Pelodiscus sinensis: one gene and its partner. The main gene of each other region encodes a partner of the protein of the gene in region 2 in a complex. Links are inferred from orthologs where the notes say so. Each region holds a gene or a part of one and is shown on either strand. Other genes may lie near its edges.

Evidence for each region. Proteins that work in one complex are often made in the same cells at the same time.
Region 1: the proteins of GIGYF1 (region 2) and TNRC6C are in contact, whole or in part, in a crystal structure (PDB 7RUQ), measured with the Homo sapiens proteins. The link is inferred for Pelodiscus sinensis from reciprocal best matches to the Homo sapiens genes GIGYF1 and TNRC6C. Residues at the interface, in NP_001362694.1 of Homo sapiens: Tyr479, Asp481, Pro482, Gln487, Phe490, Trp498, Tyr503, Phe504, Leu508; in NP_001136112.2 of Homo sapiens: Arg1719, Pro1720, Pro1721, Pro1722, Gly1723, Leu1724, Thr1725.

The regions. Positions count from the first base shown.
Region 1 is NC_134730.1:7,745,490-7,753,311, forward strand, and holds the start of TNRC6C (trinucleotide repeat-containing gene 6C protein), read left to right. Parts: upstream 1-4,818; 5' UTR 4,819-5,801; exon of another isoform or gene 5,802-5,971; 5' UTR 5,972-6,022; intron 6,023-7,822. UniProt on the Homo sapiens protein: Plays a role in RNA-mediated gene silencing by micro-RNAs (miRNAs). Required for miRNA-dependent translational repression of complementary mRNAs by argonaute family proteins.
Region 2 is NC_134734.1:8,963,770-8,971,183, forward strand, and holds the start of GIGYF1 (GRB10-interacting GYF protein 1), read left to right. Parts: upstream 1-4,393; 5' UTR 4,394-4,540; intron 4,541-7,414. Other genes in the region: chloride channel protein ClC-Kb-like, read left to right, coding at 1,954-2,040, 2,316-2,423. UniProt on the Homo sapiens protein: May act cooperatively with GRB10 to regulate tyrosine kinase receptor signaling. May increase IGF1 receptor phosphorylation under IGF1 stimulation as well as phosphorylation of IRS1 and SHC1.

The DNA of each region.
Region 1 (7,822 bases), on a different chromosome or scaffold from region 2:
AAACAAATGAGCAAACTCTTCCAAATATATAGTGATAGTGGCCATTTTAATTCAGCAAAAATTATTAATAGAATGGCAGTAAGAGTTTTTTAAAAAGTATTCTGCTTATTTACCACCTACTGCTCTCTTGAATGTATATTTGAAGGTAGCTGGCTACCAATTCAAATTATATTCAAAATGGGAAGAATAACAAACCAGAGAGGCTTCTGAAAGCCAGTGAGATCCTAGACACTCTTAAAGGTCCAATTTTACAAATCGTTTTAAGAAAGTAAGGGTATGTCTACACTACCCTCCTAGTTCGAACTAGGAGGGTAATGTAGGCATACCGCACTTGCAAATGAAGCCCGGGATTTGAATTTCCCGGGCTTCATTTGCATAAGCGGGGAGCCGCCATTTTTAAAACCCCGCTGGTTCGAACCCCGTGCAGCGCGGCTACACGGGGCACGAACTAGGTAGTTCCTTAATGTTACTGTAAGATTTGGTCTCTGGCTTAACTGGGAGCAGCAAACTGTATAGCAGAGAGTAGGTCTTAGCCCCTACAACACTTAAAAATATTGGCAACTTCTTCTCTTCGTTAATGTCATTTGCAAAAAGTTAAAAATGCTCAGTATATACCTGCCATTGCTCTATAGTTTCCTGAAAAGGTCCCAGTGGCCCTGTAAGTGTAGCCATGGCTGTTGCAACTTTTTTCTTTTTCTCTTTTACATCCTGTGCACCCTTCTGCACCCAGCCTTCATCCTAGACCCCACTCATCCTCCACACAAAAGTGCAGCCCTTGACCATTTTCCAAAATCTTAAAGTGGCTCCCTACCAAAAATTATTGCCCACCCTTGGTTTACACAGATTACATCTCACTGCAAATTCAGTCTCATCTATAGGAATGCCTTTATGTTCCAGCACTGAAACATGAGCATCATATGACCCCCATTCTCTTCAAACTGGATCACATCCGTTCTTCCTCATGTGACACAAAGAGAATACTCGAACAGTGGCGGGAAAGGATAAAACAGGGTCTGTCTAAAACATAAGAGCTACATTTCAATAGATGCCTTGGAAATTGATGAAGGCCATTCAGGGTTTGTCACAAAAGATAATACATATTGGTCCTCAATATGAAGGAAATTTATGTCGTGAAAGATAATTCTATGAAGCTTTCTACGAAGCTCAAAACACTTGCCAACCAAAATGAAAACATGCCTGAAAGGTGAAACACTGACAAGTCTACAGACCATATAACATCTTTTTCATCTAGGGCAAAGAAAATACTAGGTAGTTTTAGATAATTAATCTTGGTACATGTTAAACTTCCTTAATTGTGCTCAGCATAGAAATAAAATGCACAGAAATTAAAAAGTATATTGGCTGTCTCTTAGACACAGGCAGCCTGGGAAACATTCAGTACTCCAGGTTGTGACAATTATGATCAGTGAGCCAGAAAATACTTGTTAACACAGTGAGACATACTGAAGAAATGTTTGTTTGGGTGAGATGTTGTGGTGGTGTCCTCCATTTCTGGATGAAAATATACTCTGAACATTTTTGGCTGAGTCATCCTATCATCTTGCTAATGAAGCAGGAATTTAAATATCCTGTGCTTCATTAGCATAAACATGGCTGCTGCTTTTTTTCTAAATGGATTTTAGATCTGTCAAAATAAACCCTTTTTCGAAAGATCCTGTATTTCTCAAAAAATGAGGTTTACAGGATCTTTCGAAAAAGGGTTTATTTTTCAACAGATCCGCTTCTAGTCTGCCATTTTTTCAAAAAAGGTCCATTTAGAAAAAAAGCAGTGGCCATGTTTATGCTAATGAAGCACAGGATATTTAAATCCCTGTTTCATTAGCAATTTCAATGTGCTTGATTTGCATCCCTCTGCCAACAGAGGGATGCAGTCTAGACATAGCCTAAAAGTTGGGCAGTGTAGTTGCTGTTGTCAGTTTTTTTGCTGTCAAAATACTTCTGCCTCCAATGAGCAGTATTTGTTCTCCTGCTGACAATATGCCATTCATCGTGGCACTTGTCATGACAAAACTTTTGTCTTTCAGGCTACGTTTACAGTTTACCTCCGGTATCCCGGAATAGCTATTCTGCGTCTTAAGAGCAAGCCTGTTGTATTGAAATATAACAAGCTCACTATTCCGATGTCTCTGTAAACCTCATTGCATGAGGGTAAAGGAACATTTCAGAATAGCGCTTTATTTCGAGGTAAGGGTGATGTATGGACACACCCTCAGTGGGTTTTTTTTTATACCTCTGAATGATAAAAGTTTGTCTTTCAGTTGTCAGTGTAGACATAGCCTTACTGACCTACCACAGTCCAAACATTGAAAATTTCCTGGAAATAGGAACTGCTTATCCAGTTTTAAAATCAGATGTATTATAACCTTTACCCACATGTGTAAATTGCTTGGAGGGCTCCTTTGTGTGTCAGTTTTATATATCAACTTTCAGATAGATTATGCCAAGTCAATGGGGTTCTTAAACCTGCGAAACACCTCTGCCTGACTTCCAAGAGTGCGCAACCATGATGAGTGGTGGCTGACCCAGGAGAAACCAAAGCAGGGAAAATATTTTTGGATTGAAAAAATCTTTGTATTTAATGATAGAAAACTACAGGTAGTTGAAATAATTGCAAATGCATTTTTATCATAACAAATAGCATCTTTAAAATATGGACATTTTGTGTAAAAATCAAATTTACTTTTCATTATTGGTTCTGTGTAGGGGGTATGTGTATTTTAGATAATCCTTTTTGCATTTATTTTAGCTTGGTCAAGACTGAAGAAAGTACATTTGTTAGTTTCACTTTTGTTTTTAGTCACTGTCTAGTCAAGTTTCAATTTCAGGATCTCATGATCTTTGTCTCTTGCTTTAGTGTTTGTGTTGAAAACAAATGCATGGGAATATTTACTTCTTAAAAAGATACTTTGAATTTTAAAAATCAAGGGAAATACTTATGATCTTAGATTTTACAATAGGCTTTGTAAACTAAGTTTAGGGACAAATTTGACCTAGCAAGTAACCTTTTAATATAGTTAAAACAAATTTTTCAGTAGAGGACAACTCTATATATACAGAAATTAATTTGTGACATGATGTTGTTATTATTATAAACTTTACTTAGATAAAGGTACATGTCTGTTTTGTTTGCACTGTATTGAGGAGTTGTCTTATGTTGAACAAAATCCACTCTGAAAATAACAGCTTGGCAATTTCCTTACTTGCTTTTGATGAGTCGTTGGGGGACAACAGTTTGCAGGTGTTGACCTACATTTGTGTAACTGAAAAGTTAAGGAAAGTGCCTCTGAATTATCTACTCAGCTACACTAGTACAAACTACTTGCCTTTGAAATGTAAATAGCTTAGACCTAGATGTGTAAGAGCAGCAATACTGTAGTCAAGTGTCTGTCAGCATCACATTACTTCAGAAAAAAAATGTGAATTTAAAGTCCTGGTGAAAGGTATAGACTGACATTCCAAATGCAGGGAAATTGTTCTTAATCGTTTTGCTTTCTGGTGCTTATGAAGCAAAATGGTACACATAAATCTAATTTTTATAACATTTTGCATACATATAGATATTGTCCTGGCCTAGAGAACACACTTTGTTCTAACTATAATGATCTGATATTTTATGTTTTATTATTTTTTATCTTTGAAGTTCTGTTTCTGTTGCATTCTGGAAAAATATGGGCTCCCTCCAGTGGCCAAAGTAACACCTGTGCTCTAATTAGTGTTACCCAAAGACAGTTTTTCTGCCTGCTTGTTAAGGTATTGTCTTTGTATTAGAAGTACTAAATTCAGACTCGTTTAAAATTGTATTTTTATTTAAAACAATGTTTTTATTTGACGCATACCAGTAATTTTTTCAACCTATAAGGTCTCATCACTTCAAGCTATTCCTTATTGATTTAAGATAAATTGATATAAGGCACTTAAACCAATTTGATAAGAGTCCTCACTTGAGGGTTGTATTATTTTAACTAAATCAGTTTTAGGTACACATGTTGTGTGTAGTCAAGAAATGTTTTTTATCAAAGGTAGTTTGCTGAATATTGACCTCACTGATTTGCGCCTGCAGGAAGTTAAAGGCAGGAGTGATCAGATTTGTACCCACAATTCAGGTGCAGGTACAATTTATATTCACAAAAAACTTAGAAATCGGTCCTGGCCCTGCAGTACTTTCTCAGTCAAAACTGCAGTTTAACCGATCCGAGTTTTGCCCGAGTAAGACACACTCAGGTCCATCTGCCGTAAAGCAAACATCGAATCAAAATAGGTATTGGCCCTGGTACAGTTTGCGCTGCCACTGGGGGGCTGCGTGGGCAGCCCGGCCACACGTTTTCTATTGACGATTTTCTTTCCAGCCTTGTTCACTGCACTGGTGTTCGGTGTGGATAGCGGTTGGACTCGTGCCAGCTGCACCGGTGCATTTTGCAGGGAGCATCTAGCTGGGCAATTTTCGCTTCGCTTCCAGGCACTGATGTGCAAAGCGTCAGGCTCTGCACGGCGCAGTGGGCTCTGGAAGGAGCGCGCGCGTTAGGTCGGTGCCGCATTCGAAGCCCCCTCCGCGCGGGCGCATCTGGCACGTGCAGTGCGAGAGGTGCCCAGGTGCGCGGGCGAGAGCCGCGAGCCTTCCCGCGCAGAGCGGACTGGCCAAGATGGACGCGCCCGGCCCGTGCGAGAGGCGGGGGAAGACCGGGCCCACTCGCGCGCTAGGAGGAGAGCAACCAGACACTGAGTCGCGGCGCTGATTGGCTCTGCCACCCAATTGATTTGCATGCCGCAGTTTGTCTTCCCCCGTCACGTGATCAGAGGGGGGTAACGCCGAGGCTTCCTGTTTGAGGTCAGAGAGGGGAGGGGGGGGCCTCTCTTTGCTCTCGCGCTGCCTGGTGGGGTTCTTGTCAGTTAGCAACAAAATGGCCGCGGTGGCAGCAGCTCTGCTCCTGAGGACGGCGACGGCGGCGGCTGCAGCTAGGAAGAGCGGGGGGCCGGCGCCGCCTGCCTGCTAGAGAGAACGCGCGCGAGACGCTGCAGCCCAGCTCCTCCGCCGCAGAGAGACACTGCCTGAGAGGCGCTGCAGCAGCCCCTGGGAGACTTTGCTGCCTCCTTCAGCCTCCTGCCCCCCCCGGGGCGCGAGACTCCTGGGAACCCCCTGTGCCCCACTGAGAGTCTCTGCGGCAGAGCCCGCTGGATCGTCCCTCTCCTCGGGATTCTACGTGAGACGCTCTGCTGGCCCCATTGGATCCCCCTGTGAGAGAGACACTGCTGGATCCTCCTGCTTGGAGCACCGCAAGAGAGACTGCTGGATCTCTTTCTCTACCCCCGCCCCCCATTGTAGGACCCCTTGCGAGAGAGACTTCATTGGATCCTCCTCCTCACTGGGTTCCTACTCTTGGATCCCCGGCTGTGGCTCCATTTTTGGAGGGGGGACTCTTTCAGCTCGTTTGTGGGATCCCCCTTTTCCTTTTAATTTGCACTTTTTGAACACTCAGATGCTCCTCCATCTGGACTGAGAATCCATCAACACAAAAAATAAACTCTCCCCATCCGCTTCACATCGTGAATTTCGTGGGTTTTTGTTGTTGCTCGAAAGCAAACGTGTATTTAAAAAAGAATTCGTGTGCAAAAGTCTAGCTAGGGACATTCTTTTCCTTCCTTTCTTTCTCCACTGGAAAGCTAAAGCTTGTTTTGGAATTGAACCTGTTTCTCCTGCACTGGGACTGGATAACACCGAACCTCTGCTCTTCTGCTTGGATACTGTTTTCTTGTCGACTTGTTTTTCTTCTCTTCTGTGGCAGGTTGTGGGGGGAGTTGTTTTTTTGTTTTAGTTGGAGGGGGGAATTGAATTTTTTTTTTCGTATTCAGAGTCGTGAATTTACGGGTATTTTTTTAAGGCGTTAAAATAAGCAAGAAGCACGTCAGAGAGACCTCTACAAGGTAGACGAAATATTCACTTGTTTCATTACAGAGAGACTGAGTCGAAAGCTGCCAAAGAGCCCCTGAAGGAAAAGAAGAAACGGTAAGGGGGTGATTGTTTTATATTGATCTGCAAACAGTAGAAGTGGGAGCTGAAAAATACCTGTTCAGTCATTGCGTTAGTACATGTCACACTTTCCCCTCTGGAGTGGAGGGCAGGATTTTTCAAAAAACAGTTATAGTGTTTTTAAATAGTACTTATATTTTTCTTTTATTATGGGGCCACTGGAACAAATACTGTAAGGTACTTCCACACAAACTATTCTAAGTTATTTTAAGATATATTTTAACACTAAATTATATTTGTTGAAAAATAGACCTTTATAAATAAAAACTTGGTATTTCCATATACTGACTCTTTTTTTTACACATGCCTAATTTTTGTCACCTGTATTACTTTAATTGAAGTCTCATATATAGAAGTTAAACATTTCTAGGTTTACAGGAAGAGCCTTATGAGTTTGCTTTTTAATAATTGATAATGTACCTGTGAGTTGATGTGTGGTGTTTGTACACTAATATAAAATAATTAGCTCTATTATAAAGCGAGGTCACCAGGACTGCTTTTGATCATAACCAGGTCGGTGAAACTTGAACGTCATACTTGATCAGCTTCAGTTAAATGGCAAGAGCTCTTTAGATCCCTGTCTTTTCAATACAATTAAATTATGGTAACCATCATAATTTAGTCTCTGAATACTAGATATGTGAGCTTATTTTTTCATATTTTCATGAAGCCAAATTATTCTTATTAGCTTCAGTAAGAGCATCAGTCAGGAACAAAAACAGTGGTGTTATGGTTGAGTGTTCAGTTGTTTATCCTTGGATATCAAGAGACAGTGGGAATGTATTAAAGGTATTTGAATCCTCTTTGTTTAATTTTGCAAGTTTGTGTGGAAGGGTAATCTCCTCCCTTATTCTGTAATTGCACGTTAGTAGAAGGTCCAGTCATGAGACCCATTGAAATATACAAATGAGAATATGAACTAGTTTATGCCTCATAAAATAATTTAATATAGTTTTGTTGTCTTAAATTATATATTTTTAATTTCAGTATTTAGTTTCTTTAGGAGTGCCATTATCTAGCTAAGTGATACTTTGATGTGGTTCTAGGATTAACTTTATTCTCTGCTTCAATATAGACTTGTTTTTGTTGTCGAAAATATTGCACTGCATATATTCAGTTTATATAATTTCCAACTTTGATTTGTGTTCTTGAAGACAGCATGGCCATTTTTGCTTATAAACAAATTGAGGAAATATTTTTTCCTTGTATCTTAAACTAATTTGATTTTATATTCAGTGGAATCCAGACTGAAACTTAATTTCACCATTGGACTAATTAAGCTAGTTAAAACTCAATAATTGCTGCTAATAGTGGTTTAGTTGGTTCTATATCTTAAAATAAGATGACTATTGGTGTACTAAGAATAATGAACAAGACAGCATCTGTTATTGGATACAGTTATTCAAATGACCGACTTTAAAATCCTTAACATTAAATATTTCCTTGTTATGAGGTCAGTCAGAGATAACCTTTGGTTTTTGGTTGCTGTTGTACATCATACTGGATTGTTTAAGAAATCACTGGGGTGATAAATTTTTTCTGTATCTGTTGCTTTTCTCAGAAATGTGTGAGGGGTGCTAGGTGGGATAGTAATGGATACAACTTGTCATAATTTCTCAAATTCCCAATTTTTTCCCCTTGCCCAATAATTGTGATTTTTAAAATCTAATAAGCCTCCATTTGAACAACCACTTTCATCCATGAATTGTGATTTCAAAATGGTGTGCTGACAAGTATTACTGAAAGTTGCTCATCAAGTAATATTACTTTGTCATC
Region 2 (7,414 bases):
ATGCAATCAGGATGGGAAGATGCGATCTTCCAGAACTCTACCACATAGCAAAGATCTGGCCTTAATGCAATACAATTTTTCATGTATTAATTAGCAACACAGGATTTAAAAAAATAATTAAATTCAGAGTTTTAGATATATGCAACACTTATAAAATATTTTAATAGATTTTTTTATTCTTACCTTAAGCCATTAACACCTAGGTAAACTTTGTTTGAAATGTACTCATGCGGCTGCATCTAGACTGGCAAGTTTTTCCGCAAAAGCACTTGCTTTTGCGCAAAAACTTGCCAGCTGTCTACACTGGCTGCTTGATTTTGCGCAAAAGCACTGATGTTCTACTGTCCGAAATCAGTGCTTCTTGCGCAAATGCTTTGACGTTCCCGTTCGGGCAAAAGCCCTTTTCCAGAAATGTTTTTGTGCAAGAGGGCCAGTGTAGACAGCTAAAAACTGTTTTGCACAAAAAAGCCCCTATGGCGAAAATGGCGATCGGGGCTTTCTTGTGCAAAACCACATATAGATTGGCATGGACGCTTTTCCACAAAAAGTGCTTTTGCGGAAAAGCGTCCGTGCCAATCTAGACGCTCTTTTCCGCAAATGCTTTTAACGGAAAAACGTTTCCGTTAATAGCATTTGTGGAAAATCATGCCAGTCTAGACATAGCCATGCAAGTATTCTGGTACAAACACTCATCTTATGCAGCCAGCCCCATATCTCCTTTCTCAGGAGGCTTGAGAGTGCTGAGTTCCTGCCTTTCTCTCCTGGGGCGGATTGGACTCTCCAAACTTTCCTCTGCTCTGACTCCACTTCAGCCAATTACCCACCCACCCACCCACTCACTCACTCCCCCCCCCCAGTCACTTATTGTCTCCTTATCTCACTTTTTATTACCTGCTCTGGGAGCTGCTCCATTTCAAGCATGGAACAGCCCAGTTTAACTGTTTGCTCAGCAAGATGACATATTTCCCCTGCCGGTCAGCTGAGCTTCTTGCCTGCATGAGAGCTTTAAACTTCTGAGCAGAGCTCAGAAAACAGCTATGCCATCATGCAGCCATGCAGCTTACTGGAAACTTAGGTGGGAGGGGTTGTGCATTTGCATATGCAAATGAGCACTGTCTGCACATTTGAGTTGCTTGCTCATTTGCATATGAACAGTATAAGTGGAGACTTATTTGCATACTCAATAAGCAATACTCATTTGCATGTCATTTTGGTCCTCTCCCCCCTGCCCCCCTCCCCATCACTGAGGTACAGGGAGCCACTGGGCCCTGAATCCCCATCCGCAGCCAGACATGACTCTCCGCCAGCAGGTAGAACAGATAATGTATTAGTTCACAGGGACACATTGTAAAACAGACTTGTTACCCCAGGAACCAGAAGCAGCCAATACAATTTGTCTTAGGGAGAGGGAGGCCCAGAGCCAGGGCCCTGGGTCCCCTCCCTGTCTCTTAAGCCAGCAGAGACTAATTCACACACTTAGCTACTGGTCCCTGCCTTACTGGCAGTCCCACTTCCTCCTTTGTCCAGCTTCTCAGGCAAAAGGTGTCCCTTGTTTTCACCTCATGTTCCAGGGACTCTTGGCCATTGTGAATGTGCTTGCCTGGGCAGCCTGGGGCAGCCTCCCCTCAGTGAGAGTCACACCCAAAATTCCCATCTCCATCGGGGCACTGGTGCAGTGCCTAGAGAAACTGAAGCATGCACACACAGAGTTACTACAGAACAGTACAGGACAATGGAAATCACATGCAACATAACAAAGTGAACAGAGCGAATAGAATCCCCACATTGTCACCCCCTGATAATGTGCCACCTGCTGCCAAGAGCCCCCCCCCCCCCCAGCCCCACTGTCCTGCAGTCTCAGTGAGGGCTGATCCCTAACCCTACCCTATTTTGATCCATCCTCCCCTCCTCAGTTTGTCTCCTGACATGCACACACCCATTTCTGCTCCACAGTGTTATGACCTCTTTAACCTGCTGGGACTGCGGACAGCATACGTCACCAACATGGGCCAGCTGGTTGGTGTGGTCAGCCTCCGAGAGGTAGGGCTGAAGGGTGGGAGGCACAGGGGGGCATGGGGTGGGGAGCACAGGGCTGTTGCATGGATCCTGGAGAGGTCAGGGAGCTCATGAGGAACATAGGGGGCAGGTTGCAGGGTCTACTGGGTCAGGGAGAGTCTTTGGGGTTCAAGAAATTCAAGGAAGGAGCCGGGGCAGCAGGTGGGGGTTATGGGAAATGAGGGGGTTCAGGGATTTGGGGGCTGAGAGGTGATGGTGTGGGGTGTGTCCCTGACGTGCTGCCTCTGTCCCCCAACCAGCTCAAAGCCGCTGTGGAGGGATCAGTCAAGGGCACTTTCGCCAAGCGCCAGCCCCATGATGAGGGGCAAGTCGAAGGAGACCCCGATCCCAATGGATCCTCAGCCTAGCAGGGACTGGAACATGCGGCCTACTCCTGATTCCACATTCCTCTGGAGCCCATGGGGGACAGGGCAGGGGGAGCTACCACTTAGCCCCTCTCTGTTTCTCTTGCACTCCAGCTACAATAGCCCTGGCCATTCCAGCAACCCCTAAATTATTAAACCTCCATTTTCTGCCCTCACTGAATAATGTGAGTAACTTTTGGCAGCTCCACTCAAAATCACCCAGTAAAGATCCAGTTACATTTTTTGTCGGTGTTTATTATTCCTCCTTTCTACATCTTTCTAGGGGGCTGGACGGTTAGAGCTGTGGGCTTGGGAGCCAGGACTCCTGGGTTTTCTGTCCAGCTCTGAGTGGGGAGTGGAGGCTGGTGGGTAGAACAGGGAGGCAGACTCCTGGGTTCTCTCTCCTGAATGTGGAGATGTGATGTAACAAGCTAGTTGATTCTGCAAGCAGGCAAAGAGACTCCAGCCACAGTCATGATGGTCATCGTGGTGCCTGGATGTGAGATGATGCCATCATGTTCCTACACAATGACAACATGGTCTTGTGTTGTCACAGGTGCACTGTGGGATGATGTTTTTCCGTTGATGATATCGTAGGGTAGATGTAACCTCTCAGCATTGTGTTTGACATCAGGGCCTTCTGCTGTTGATATGCTGGAAGCTGTGTTTGGTCACTGGACACCCCAGTGACTTTGTGGCTGCATTTGGTGACATCATAGTCTCACATTGCAGCATAATGCCACAATATCATCATGCACCATCAGGAGTTGCCAGGAGGAGTATGTGGGGCTATGGTAGACTGAGGAATAACTCAGTGTCCTGAGATAGTGACCTAGGCAGCGGGGCCAGGTGGTGGCACTTTTTACTGATAGGGTTGCCAGGTGTCCGGTATTGACACGGACCGTCCGGTATTTTCACCTCCTGTCCAGTAAAAAAATTCAGAAAATACCAGACACCTAAAATGTCTGGTATTTTCTGATTTTTTTTTCCCGGACAGAAGGCGAAAATCCCAGGTGCTTACCAGGTTCCGCAGGGGAGCTGTCCGGCCCGGAGCAGGAAGACAAGATGGTGGGTGGCCGCCAGCAGCCTATTAGGGCCAAAAAGCCTCAAAAGAATTTCTTAAAGGGGTCACACTTTTTTTTTAATTAAAAAAAAATTTTTTTGCTCAACAACTTTGGTCTCCCCCTTTTTTTTCTCAATAGAATTTTTCCCTGGTGTTTTATTTTTTTGGGGGGGGGTGTTCAGTATTTTTTGTTAAGCCATCTGGTAACCCTATTTACTGAGGCAGCGTGACACAATGGCAGCTGCTGAGATAGTGACAACACAGGGCTGGGGTTGACATCGCAAGGTGACACAAGGACATCACACTGCCTTCTGGAGACGTTATCTGGTGAAGCAATGACATGGTGCAGATGAGATCACAGGGCAGGACAGTGACAGCAGAAAGCCATGTGATGACATCACGTGAGATTGATGATGTCATAGGGCTCGTAGTGACATCACATGGACACAGTGTGTGACAATTGCACCACAGGTCTTGGTGGTAAAGCCGACTGGTGACCTCACAGTTCGGGAGAGTGGTGACGTCACCGTCTTCTAAGGAGGGGGTCCATCGTTTTGTGAAGGGATCGTCACGTGACCCGAACGCGTGACCTGGGTAGTACGTCGGGCCAAGGCCGTCGTCCGTCACGTGACGCTGTGGCGCGGGGGCTGCTTTAGCCTCCCTGCGCAGGACTATGGTGGCGCCGGGAGGGGGTGGGGAAGGAGAGATACGCGCGCGGCCATAGCGAAGCGCGGGGTCACGCGAGCCGGGCGGCAATTTGGCTTCTCCCCTGTCATGTGGCTCCCGCGCTTCCCCCTCCTCTGCGGGCTCCACCCCATCACGTGACACCCTCCTCCTGCGGCCGAGCTCCTGTGTCACGTGGGCCCTTGAGCTCCCCCTCCGCGTTCCCTCGTCACGTGACGGGGCTCCGTGCCGCCATCTTGGTACAAACACAAACAAGCGGCGATAGGCGGCGGCGGCGGCGAGAGACCCGGAGTCCCCCCCCCGCCTTCCTGCCGCGCGCGCGGCTAGGCCCCGCCCCCTCCGCGCCAGGCCCCGCCCCCCGCTGGGCGCCGCGGTGAGACACGGGGCCCTTCCTTACCCGGCCCGTCGCTATGGAGATACCGTGGGGAGGGGGCCCTAGAAATCCCGGGCCGGGCCCCGCGGAGGGGTTGGGGCGGCCCCTCCTCGACATGCCCGCAAAGCCCTGGGAGGCGGACAGTGGGGTGCCATCGGGAGGGCAGGGAAGGGGGAACCCTTGGGGGAATCGGCTGAGGGGTGTTTGGTGCCAGCCCTCGGGTGTGGGGGTGCTGTCCCGGCTCACCCCCCTCCTACGCAAATGTTCCTGGAAGTGGAGTGCTAGGGGTGGGGCTGCCTCCTTGCGGATGCTGTGCAGACCCCTGCCTGCCCCCTTCCCTCAAGGATGCGCCTCTGCCCCCCAAGTGCTGTGCATTGGTTCCCCTCTGCCCAGGGATGTGCATTGATCTTCTGGGTTGGTCCCCTTTCCTGACTGTGGCTGTAGAATTGGCCCAGACATTGCTGTGTCAAACTTTTCTTGTTACCCCACTTTCCCATTCCAGGGCTGGTGGACAAATTGGGGGGAGGGACTCGTTGTGGGGGGCCTCAGAAGCCCCCTTGTTTCTTGTTGTTCAGGCTCCCTTTCCCAGGCTGTGTGTGTGGGGTATTTCTCTAGCTACCTTCCATTGCAGGGACGTGTGTCGTGGGTGCTGGTTGTCTTGCTGCCCTTCTGCACAACTGGCAGTCTAGCCAGCCTCTGCCTTTTTGCCTAGATATGTGTTGGCTCCTTGCTCTTGCATGAATTTCTAGGTCTCACCTATAGTTGCAGGGATTTACTGAAAGAATTGAGATGCCAATGGAATTGAAAAGCCCCAAGCCTGTTACATCAAACATCACGTCCCCTGTTTTGCTGGGTGTCGCACTGAGATTGTGGTCCCTGGTTGTGCCACATGTTGCATAGGCACACCCCCACCCACCCAGATGAGATCAGGGGTCGGCCCCTGTTGTGCTAGGCACTGATGTGGCTGTTGTCTGAGGGAATGAAAGACACTTTTAGCTGGCAAAGGAGTTTACGTATGAACAAGTTGTTCTTGGGAAGACCAACTGGGGGAACGGTCTTGTTGGAAATAAGGTGTTCGTTTTTGACATGGTGGGTAATGACTCATTGGGACAACATACTAAGGTTTTGGAGTGTACTCTCCAGGCTGTATTCCTGAAAACCCTGCTTTGGGTCTGCCTTCAGAGAGTCAGAGTAGATATTCACAATGGTCCCTTGGGGTCTCTGCCCACCACTCAAGTGTCTGCTCTATTCTGCACTGGGGCTAGGTACCCAAGCGAGTTTGTAGATGCTCAGGGCAGCAGGAAACTTTCTGAGCTATACAACACTGGCATGGCTGACTTTCAGAAAAATGAGTTGCGGGTGTAAAGCATGAAAACAAATGTGGCGCTGCATAAAATATCTTGGCATAAGAGTAGGTGCAGAATTCATTGGCTGTATTATAACAATAACAGGGATTTGGGGGAGCCCTGTATTACAGCTGTGCTGCATAGCCTCCTCCTGCCAACTGAGCTCAAGGGGCCCCCCAGTTGTGCCAGGTGGTGCACAGGCCCCTGCTGGGTGAGCTCAGGGGCTGCCCTTTGTGCAGGGGGCTCCTCGCATGCAAGGAACCCTGTATAGCTTGGCCTAACGTTGTGAGGGCAAACTGAAGCACAGTGAAGGGAAAGCAATCAGATGGTGGCGGAGCTGGGGAGAGAACCCTGGCATACCAGTGCAGTGGTGTTGCTTCCTCTGGGACAAGTGCTATACAAACCTGTGCTGGAAGAGCTTACAGGCTGCTCCCCATTGGTCATCCTGAGGTCCAGATGAAGTCCTGGCTAGTATGAGAGCCTGTGTGCGCTCCGCCTCTGCTTTGCTGCCATCTGTCACATTACTCACTACTAGGAATGCTTGGTCAAAGGGGTGTAACCACTAGACCCCAATGGGGCACCTGAAAACTGCCAGCTTGATAGAGTGACTGTGGTTTACTAAGTCTGTTCCCTCAATACAGCTTGGGAGACATGGTCACCAGGGCTCTGCTGCAGGGCTGGGCTTAGACCTGGGATCTTGGTCTCCCAGCTTTAGATGCTGCATTTCAGTGTTGTCATCTCGCTGCCCTGAGAGGCAGAAATGCAATTTTAAAATCTGCATTGGGGCTGGGTTTGGAGTAATCCAAGAGACCATGAAAAGGTGACTTGATCCTGGTCTCTATTGTGGGGAGAGAGCTCTCTGAGGGTGACTCAGTGCTGGGGAGCTGCAGTGAGATTAATTCACACTAGAAACAAGTCACAGCTTTGGACCAGGGAGGGAAATTAACTAGGGATATAATCGAGGAGTTGAGTATTCGACTACCTGATAAGGCTGTGCTTATTAGGTAGTCAAGTCAATTACTCAACTACTCATTTCCCCCACTCCTTGATGCTTCTGTCAGAGGCAGCAGGAGGGGGGTGGTGTAGGGGAGGCTGCTGTGGGCTGAGACTGGTCTGGCAGCAGTCCCTGTCCTCTGGGGTCCCAGTGGAGAGCTGGGTCCCTGTTCCCTCGCAGACAGGGGCTGGTGCTGCAAAGCAGTCCCTGTTCGCAGTGGCTCAGGCTGGCCATGGGCAGAGGCTTCTCCAGCAGCAGTCCCAACTGCCTCGAACAGGGGCTGCTACTGGGCTGACATTGCATCGACTACACAATTAGCCAAATAACTGCTCTTCAACATTCTTAAAATTAACCTATTGCAGCAACTGACCCATTGCAGCAACTGATGAGTGGGTTCTCCCGCTCCTGGAGTTTGAATCGGGTTTGGGGAGTGTCTTTCTAAATGATATGCTCCGTATCAAGCAGAAATTTGGGCTTGATACAGGAAACCTGGGACAGTCAGTTCTCCGATTTGTGCTATGTGAACAGTCAGAC